2 linked regions of the Canis lupus familiaris genome follow. The protein of the gene in region 1 binds, or shares a complex with, the protein of each later gene. Links are inferred from orthologs where the notes say so. Each region holds a gene or a part of one and is shown in the gene's direction. Other genes may lie near its edges.

What was found.
Region 2: TAF10 (region 1) and TAF13 share a complex: the UniProt entries of both Homo sapiens proteins name them as parts of the TFIID basal transcription factor complex. The link is inferred for Canis lupus familiaris from reciprocal best matches to the Homo sapiens genes TAF10 and TAF13.

The regions. Positions count from the first base shown.
Region 1 is NC_049242.1:30,425,290-30,428,560, reverse strand, and holds TAF10 (transcription initiation factor TFIID subunit 10), read left to right. Parts: upstream 1-1,295; 5' UTR 1,296-1,318; coding exon 1,319-1,550; intron 1,551-1,688; coding exon 1,689-1,843; intron 1,844-2,077; coding exon 2,078-2,142; intron 2,143-2,231; coding exon 2,232-2,346; intron 2,347-2,528; coding exon 2,529-2,618; 3' UTR 2,619-2,723; downstream 2,724-3,271. Other genes in the region: ILK (integrin-linked protein kinase), read right to left, coding at 2,930-3,079, 3,266-3,271. UniProt on the Homo sapiens protein: The TFIID basal transcription factor complex plays a major role in the initiation of RNA polymerase II (Pol II)-dependent transcription.
Region 2 is NC_049227.1:43,169,997-43,174,366, forward strand, and holds the start of TAF13 (transcription initiation factor TFIID subunit 13), read left to right. Parts: upstream 1-1,530; 5' UTR 1,531-1,586; coding exon 1,587-1,613; intron 1,614-2,465; coding exon 2,466-2,544; intron 2,545-4,370. UniProt on the Homo sapiens protein: The TFIID basal transcription factor complex plays a major role in the initiation of RNA polymerase II (Pol II)-dependent transcription.

The DNA.
Region 1 (3,271 bases):
TGCAAATCCCATCAGGTCATTTACTTAAGACCCTTCAAAGGTTACTGATGCAATTCTGGCTTTTTGCTATGACTCACAAACCTGATTCTTCCCTTGCCATTTGTTCCTGAGTACCAAATTGTTTATCTTCTCTTGTTCCCCCTCCCGGCTCTGCACACACTTTCACTTTTCCTCAAGGTAGTCTATGCCCTTAACATGTCCCTCGACTCCCTTTACCTGGTTCATTTCCAGTTCTCTTTAAAAACTCAGAAGTCATATCCTCCTGTGAACCTTTTGACTCCCTGAAGGTAGCTCATTTTTGTGTAGCAGAAAAATTCTGGGTTTTTAAAAACAGACCTATTTGATACTTGGTTCTGACGTAGACTAGGACAGAGCCTTGGACAGGTACATCTCCCCGAGTCTTTTCCCTCCTCTGTTAAGGGGGCATATCAATACCTGCGTCGCACAGTAATCAGGGAATAATTAAGTGGAATAAAGTTGATGAGTGCCTGACACAAAGAAGTAGGCGGCAGATGTTAGTCCCCTTCCTCCTTTGCACTGCATACTGTGTCTACCTCTAGTATTGTAACTCCAATGTAGGACTGAAAATGCCAGCTAACCTGTTTGCCTCCCCGACTGTCAGCGCCGAGAGGACGAGAGTCTCGTCCTGCTTAACTTTGTACTCCCAGGCCCTCGCTCAGGATGGGCAAATAGGAATTAAATAAATGTGTGTTGCGTTGAACACCCCCCCCCCACACACTCGCTGTGATGCTGCGTATGTTGTTTATTCAGGCTGAAATACCTCCTTCCCCAACTATGGCAACACTGCACATTCCTACTGTCCTCCATTCCCAGGGCAGTCGCGGGGGGCGGGGGGGGGGGGAGACTTACAACCCTTAAAAGGCTGAGTAAGGGAACTGGAAAGGATACAGACTGGCAGGCAACCCGTGGCCGAGGGGGGGGGGTCCCTAAGCAAGGTCTTTAAGTGCCAGGTTGCAGGAGGGGCAGGAGGGGCCCCGGACCCGCAGAAGAGCGTCCTAGACGTCGACGGTTCCCAGCCCCGCGGCAGGGCCTAGGACTTCGCCCGGGGGGTGGGGGGGGTGGGGGGGGGTGGGGGCGGGGGGAGGGCGGGGGGCGTGGGGGGAGGGCGGGGGGAGGCAGCCCGGCGGCGGCGGCGGCATCTCACTGGCTAGCCGACATCCAGGAGGCGGGAGACCCGACACAGACGACAAACATGGCGTGGGCGGGGCGAAGCGCGGGGCGTGTGACGTCACCCGGCGTGTGCGTAACGTGAGCGGAAGCGGAAGCGGCTCTGTTCGCCGCCTCTCCCACCGGCCCGATGAGCTGCAGCGGCTCCGGCGCGGACCCCGAGGCGGCGCCGGGTTCCGCCGCCTCGGCCCCGGGCCCGGCGCCCACGGTCTCGGCCCCCGCAGCGCTGCCCGCCGGCACCGCTGCGGAGAACAAGGCCAGCCCCGCGGGGACAGCGGGGGGACCCGGGGCTGGAGCTGCGGCAGGGGGCACGGGACCCGTGGCGGCGCGGGCCGGGGAGCCGGCCGAGCGGCGCGGGGCGGGTGAGGGCCGGGCCGGGTGAGGGCGAGGGCAGCGCCGGGGGCTGGGCCCGGCGGCGGGTGAGGGCGGGGGGTTTGAGGCCGACCTAAGCGGGGCTGCGCATCTTCCACCTCCATGTCTATTTGCTGCTTCTCCTCCAGCTCCCGTGTCGGCGGGCGGCGCGGCGCCCCCGGAGGGGGCCATGTCTAACGGGGTTTACGTGCTGCCGAGCGCCGCCAACGGAGACGTGAAGCCGGTGGTGTCCAGCACGCCTCTGGTGGACTTCCTGATGCAGCTGGAGGACTATACGCCTACGGTGGGCTTCCTGCCTGAACAGGCTATTGGGGCGCTGTCAGGCCAAGCTTCCGCTACACCACCTGGATTTCCAGCTTTCTTTCGTACTTGCTCCCCTACTAGCTCTTTGATTTATCCCCTCTGCCCACCCAAACCGTGGGCTTCCTGAAAGCCGGGCCTGTCCTCCATTTCCCTCATCCTCTCAGCCCAGCAGTGCACAGGGCACACACTGACAGTCCTCTCGTTGATCTCTCAGATCCCAGATGCAGTGACTGGTTACTACCTGAACCGTGCTGGCTTTGAGGCCTCGGACCCACGCATGTGAGTACAGCTTGGGTAGGTTACAGCCTTGGGTGCTTGTGTGGAGTTTCTGGTCTCCTCTCCTTCTCACCCCAGTTTTTTCTCTCTAGAATTCGGCTCATCTCCCTAGCTGCCCAGAAATTCATCTCAGATATTGCCAACGATGCCCTACAGCACTGCAAAATGAAGGGCACAGCTTCTGGCAGCTCCCGAAGCAAGAGCAAGGTGTGAGGGGAGGCTCATTGAATCAGTAATTATCTCCCACAGCATCGGAGGCTTAATTTGTCCTGAAACCCCTTTGGGGAAACTAAGCCCTAGGGGAGGTGAAAGACCTACTCAGGGTCACCCACCTGGGATTGAAATCCGGAATTCCCCTGCTCAGCTGGTGCTCTTCCCTCTTCCCTCAGGACCGCAAGTACACTCTAACCATGGAGGACTTGACCCCTGCCCTCAGCGAATATGGCATCAATGTGAAGAAGCCGCACTACTTCACCTGAGCCACCCAACCTAAATGTACTTGTCTGTCCCCCTGTCCCCACACCAGCCTGTTTTCATAATAAACTTTATTGTGACAGGCAGGGCTGGTCCCTCCCATGCTGGGAGATACCGTGTGGCAAGTGACAAAGCTCTGAGCCTAGCCCCTTTGGGGGCTGCAGTGGTAGGGATGGGGGCAGGGGATGGGCCCCATGGCTGGGGTAGTACCATGACTGGAGGCAGGGGAGGCAACCAGAGGCCTGCTGCTTTGGGGAGACACACTCCCCTAACCGTGTCCTGACACCTCTGGAGTTTAGGCAAGGGCTTTCCAGCTCTACTTGTCCTGCATCTTCTCCAGGATAGGCACAATCATGTCAAACTTGGGCCGCTTAGCAGGGTCTTCATTCATGCAGATCTTCATGAGCTTACACACATGGGGGGAAATGCCTGGTGGGATAGTAGGCCGAAGGCCTTCCAGTGCCACCTGCAGATACAGGAAAAAAACAAAATGGGTCTCAGAACTTCTAATATCCTGTGAGGAGAGGCCTCTAGTCCTCAGGAAAGGATTACTGTATATTTGAACAAATATGGGAAGAGCCCAGCCCTGCTATAGTTGTTGTCACCACCACTACCATTCCTTCAACATAAGTGCATACAGTTGTTCTCTCACCTTCAT
Region 2 (4,370 bases), on another chromosome or scaffold:
CAACCTTTCAATCATAGCTTGGTCTTTCCGGTGACCAGCCCCCAACCAGGAGCCCACCCTAAATTGCCTACCCTAAATTGCTTCATGAGAATAAAAAATGCTCCTATGCTCTTATCACTTAGGAATTGCAAGGGTTTTAGAAGCTTTGTGCCAGGAACTGGAAGCAGAGACCAATATATATATATATATATTTTGTTATCCCACAGTTTCATTCCTAGAAAATGTGAGTTAAAAGCTTAAGACAGGGGATCCCTGGGTGGCTCAGCGGTTAGCGCCTGCCTTTGGCCCAGGGCATGATCCTGGAGTTCCGGGATCGAGTCCCACCTCGGGCTCCCTGCATGGAGCCTGCTTCTCCCTCTGCCTGTGTCTCTGCTTCTCTCTCTCTCTATCTCTCATGAATAAATAAATAAAATCTTTAAAAAAACATAAGACATGTTTAGTATCTAAACAAAGTTAGGTTCTAGGCTCAGATAATTATAGGTTTTTCATTCACATGAATGTTTAGCAGGGCATTCAGAAATATTGTGGGACAACTTCTCCTTGTGTGGCATCATGCCTTGCATTGCAGAACATTTGATATCCCTAGCTTTAGCTTTCTAACGCCAGTGGTTTTCTTCATTGTTCTGATCACAAAATTCCCCACAAATATTTAATCCTCAGTTTAAGGGGGTGATGTTTTCCTCTTAAAAACTAGCGGCGAAGGAAAACATACCCAATAATCAGTGTAGTGCTTGGCAATTAATAATAGTGTAACTAGGGATCCCTGGGTGGCGCAGCGGTTTGGCGCCTGCCTTTGGCCCAGGGCGCGATCCTGGAGACCCGGGATCGAATCCCACGTCGGGCTCCCGGCGCATGGAGCCTGCTTCTCCCTCTGCCTCTCTCTCTCTCTGTGTGTGTGTGAGACTATCATAAATTTAAAAAAAAGAGTGTAACTAGGGCAGCCCCGGTGGCTCAGCGGTTTAGCGCCACCTTTGGTCCAGGGCCTGATCCTGGAGACCGGGGATCGAGTCCCATGTCGGGCTCCCCGCAGAGAGCCTGCTTCTCCCTCTGCCTGTGCCTCTGTCTCTGTCTCTCTCTCTCATGAATAAATAAATTAAATCTTAAAAAAATAATAATAGTGTAACTATAGGTTGTTAAAATTGTGTAAACACACTCTTCGGGCATCCCAAGGACCACTGGCACCCCAGTGATACGTAGCTTCACAGCCCCGAATCAGGGAGCGGTGATTCCATACGTAGAAGCCAATTCAGGGCCACAACATACACACTGCCCAGTCTACGATTTCCTTTTCTTTCCTAATACGTAATCAATCCGTGATCTTGATCACAGAACCTGCGGCTCATCCCCCTGTCCGCTTGCACCTGCCGTTAAGTCTCCGCGCGACCTCCTCGCGGGTTGGCCGACTAGGCCCCGCCCCGCCCGGCTCGGCCCCGCCCCCTCCCCGCCCTCCCGGCTCGGCCCCGCCCCCGCCCCTCCCGGCTAGGCCCCGCCCCTCCCCGCCCCTCCCGGCGCGTCACCGGAAGTGAGGCAGAGGAACTAGTGAAGCGGCTGCAAGCGAGGCTGCGGCTTCTAGGCTGGCCGGCGGCATGGCCGACGAGGAGGAAGACCCTGCTGTGAGTGACCGCCGCCGTTCCCACCCACCCGTTTCTTCATTCCCTGGGGGACAGGAGCGGAGCCTGAGTTCAGATTCACCTTAGCCAGTACACTGGAGAGAGTTCGGAGACTTCACGCCCAGCTAGCCTTTCCCTTCGGGTTCATCTCTTAGTACGTGGGGCAGGACGTGAAGAGTAGGACGGTGGCTGCTTGCTTGCTTCTGCTTGCTTTTGCTTTTGGTGTCTGTTTGCTGGACACTCCGAATCGCCTGGAAAGCCATCCGAGGACAATGCTAATTGTTTGTTAGCGCGCTTTATGAACCGATACTGCAGCTGATAACAAAACTATGTGCTTACTGTAGAGTTGTGGGAAAATAATGGACCGAAAATCAGGGAACCTGGATTTCAAAACCTCTTTTATCTCTGAGCCAGTTTCTTAACTTTGAGCCTTTGTTTACATGTCAAAAAATGGGGTTCAGGCTTATTGGAGGGAAGTTCCTAGTCCTGTGTAAGCGATGCTTAGTAAATACTAGTTTGCTTACTTTGATTCAGTACCAATTCTTAATAGTAAAAACTGTAGTAATAGACTAACTAGTTGGTTTAAAAAAAAAAAAACGTATGGTCATCATAACTTCCAGGAGAGGCAGTAGGATTATTTGTTAGGGACATCGTAGAAGCCATTCCTGCGTAAGTGGAAAGTTGGACTGGATAGTCATTAAGGTTCTTAAAACGCTGAGATTTCATGATTTTTTGCTGCTTGCTTTAGGCTTTCTGGCACAATATCAGTGTTAGAAATGAAAAAAAAATTAAACGTTAATTATTTAATAATCAAATGCAGCACTTGACATTTCACATATACGTTTTAATTTGTAGTTTGAGGAAGAAAATGAAGAAATTGGAGGAGGTGCAGAAGGCGGACAGGGTAAAAGGAAGAGACTTTTTTCTAAAGAATGTAAGTAATATTTGACAATGATTCAATTACAGAGAATAAAAACTTTTTTTTTTTTTTAAAAGATTTTACTTATTTATTCATGAGAGACACACAGAGAGAGGCAGAGGTAGAAGCAGGCTCCATGCAGGGAGCCGGATGTGGGACTTAATCCTGGGACTTCAGGATCATGCCCTGGGCCAAAGGCAGGCGCTAAACGGCTGAACCACCCAGGGATCCCGACAATAAAAACTTTTAGACATGTTTATTCAAAGTAGATTAATGTTCTCTGTGGGAACAATATTCTCAGACTTGCCCATAAAACGTGTTTAACTTCTGAATCAAATAGTAGTGATCCTAACCCCAATTTGTGTGTGTGTGTAGGTGGGTGGGCGTGTATATGCACTTTTCTTTTTAATTGAAGAAATGTGATCAGTGTTTCAATTCAGGGCCAAAAAACATACCTCCATTACTTTTTGTGTCCCTTACTATTGCAGCAGAACTCCTAGACTACAAGTCTAAGGTTATGATGGATCCTGGAACAGGTACTGATGGTAGGAATTAAGTTGGGCCTTCGGACTAAAGCATTGGACAAGACAGAAAGGTGATGAGTAGTGTAAGACAGTACAGTGGCATAGAGATTGTAATGTATTGGTTCTCTAGTGTATTCCCTCAATAGATAGGCTTGACTCTTTTTGGCAGCAGCAAGAGGGAGAGCTGCTGTTCCTAGTGACAGTCAAAGCTAGTCCCTGAAAGGCACTGTGAGAATGTGCTCTCCATCCTGTGTCTTTTACACGTAGTTATGGCTGAGTAGTGACAAAGGAGGCAGCACATGAATATATGGTTTATTTATGCTGGGTCGGACTGAATGATTCCCAAATGCTCTTGAAACTGCAGTCGGTATATATTTATATTTTTTTAATGACTCAAATCCTCCATATCTCAATGTCTCACCTAAAGTTGACCACTCCTTAATCCATCTTTGATACTCTTTATTCTGTTTTTATTTCTTATATCAGCGTAAGAAGGGGATTTCCACGGCAGAGCATCCCAGACTGATGTTTGCATTGTCACTTCTTAGCAGAAATGTTTGTTCTGCTTGGCTTGTTTTATTTTTGTGATGATAAGAGTTTGGAATATTCACAGCCTTCTCCTTGTCTTACTTTAATCTTGTATAATTTATTGGCTGACATCTGTTATCCGAAACTTTGTTTTTTTTTTATTTTTTTTTATTTTTATTTTTTTTAAATTTTTCTTTTTTTTTTTAATTTTCATTTATTTATGATAGTCACACACACAGAGAGAGAGGCAGAGACACAGGCAGAGGGAGAAGCAGGCTCCATGCACCAGGAGCCCGACGTGGGATTCGATCCCGGGTCTCCAGGATTGCGCCCTGGGCCAAAGGCAGGCGCCAAACCGCTGCGCCACCCAGGGATCCCTTGTTTTTTTTTTAATTGCTACTTTATAACACAAAGTTTCAAATAATTCACTGGTATTTGTGTCTTTACAAACCCTTTAACCAAATGCAGTTAACATATATACTGGTGAATTATGCTCATCAAAATGTTAATGACAAAGTATCTTCCTCAAATATTTAAGGAAAAATAGTAAGCTTGCAATGGAGAATCCTGGCAGACAAGTAATGTCTAAAGTATTAGCTGATGATCAAAGTCAACATCACCAGTAATGTATAACATCATGTACCTCCAATATGATGCATTAAGAGGGCACCTCACCTGTATGGTACCCTTTCTAGTAATGAGTACCCACAGTCTAATCATGAGAAAACACCAGAGAAACTCAAATTGGAGAACATTCTACACCATCACTAACCAGAATTCTTCCGAAGG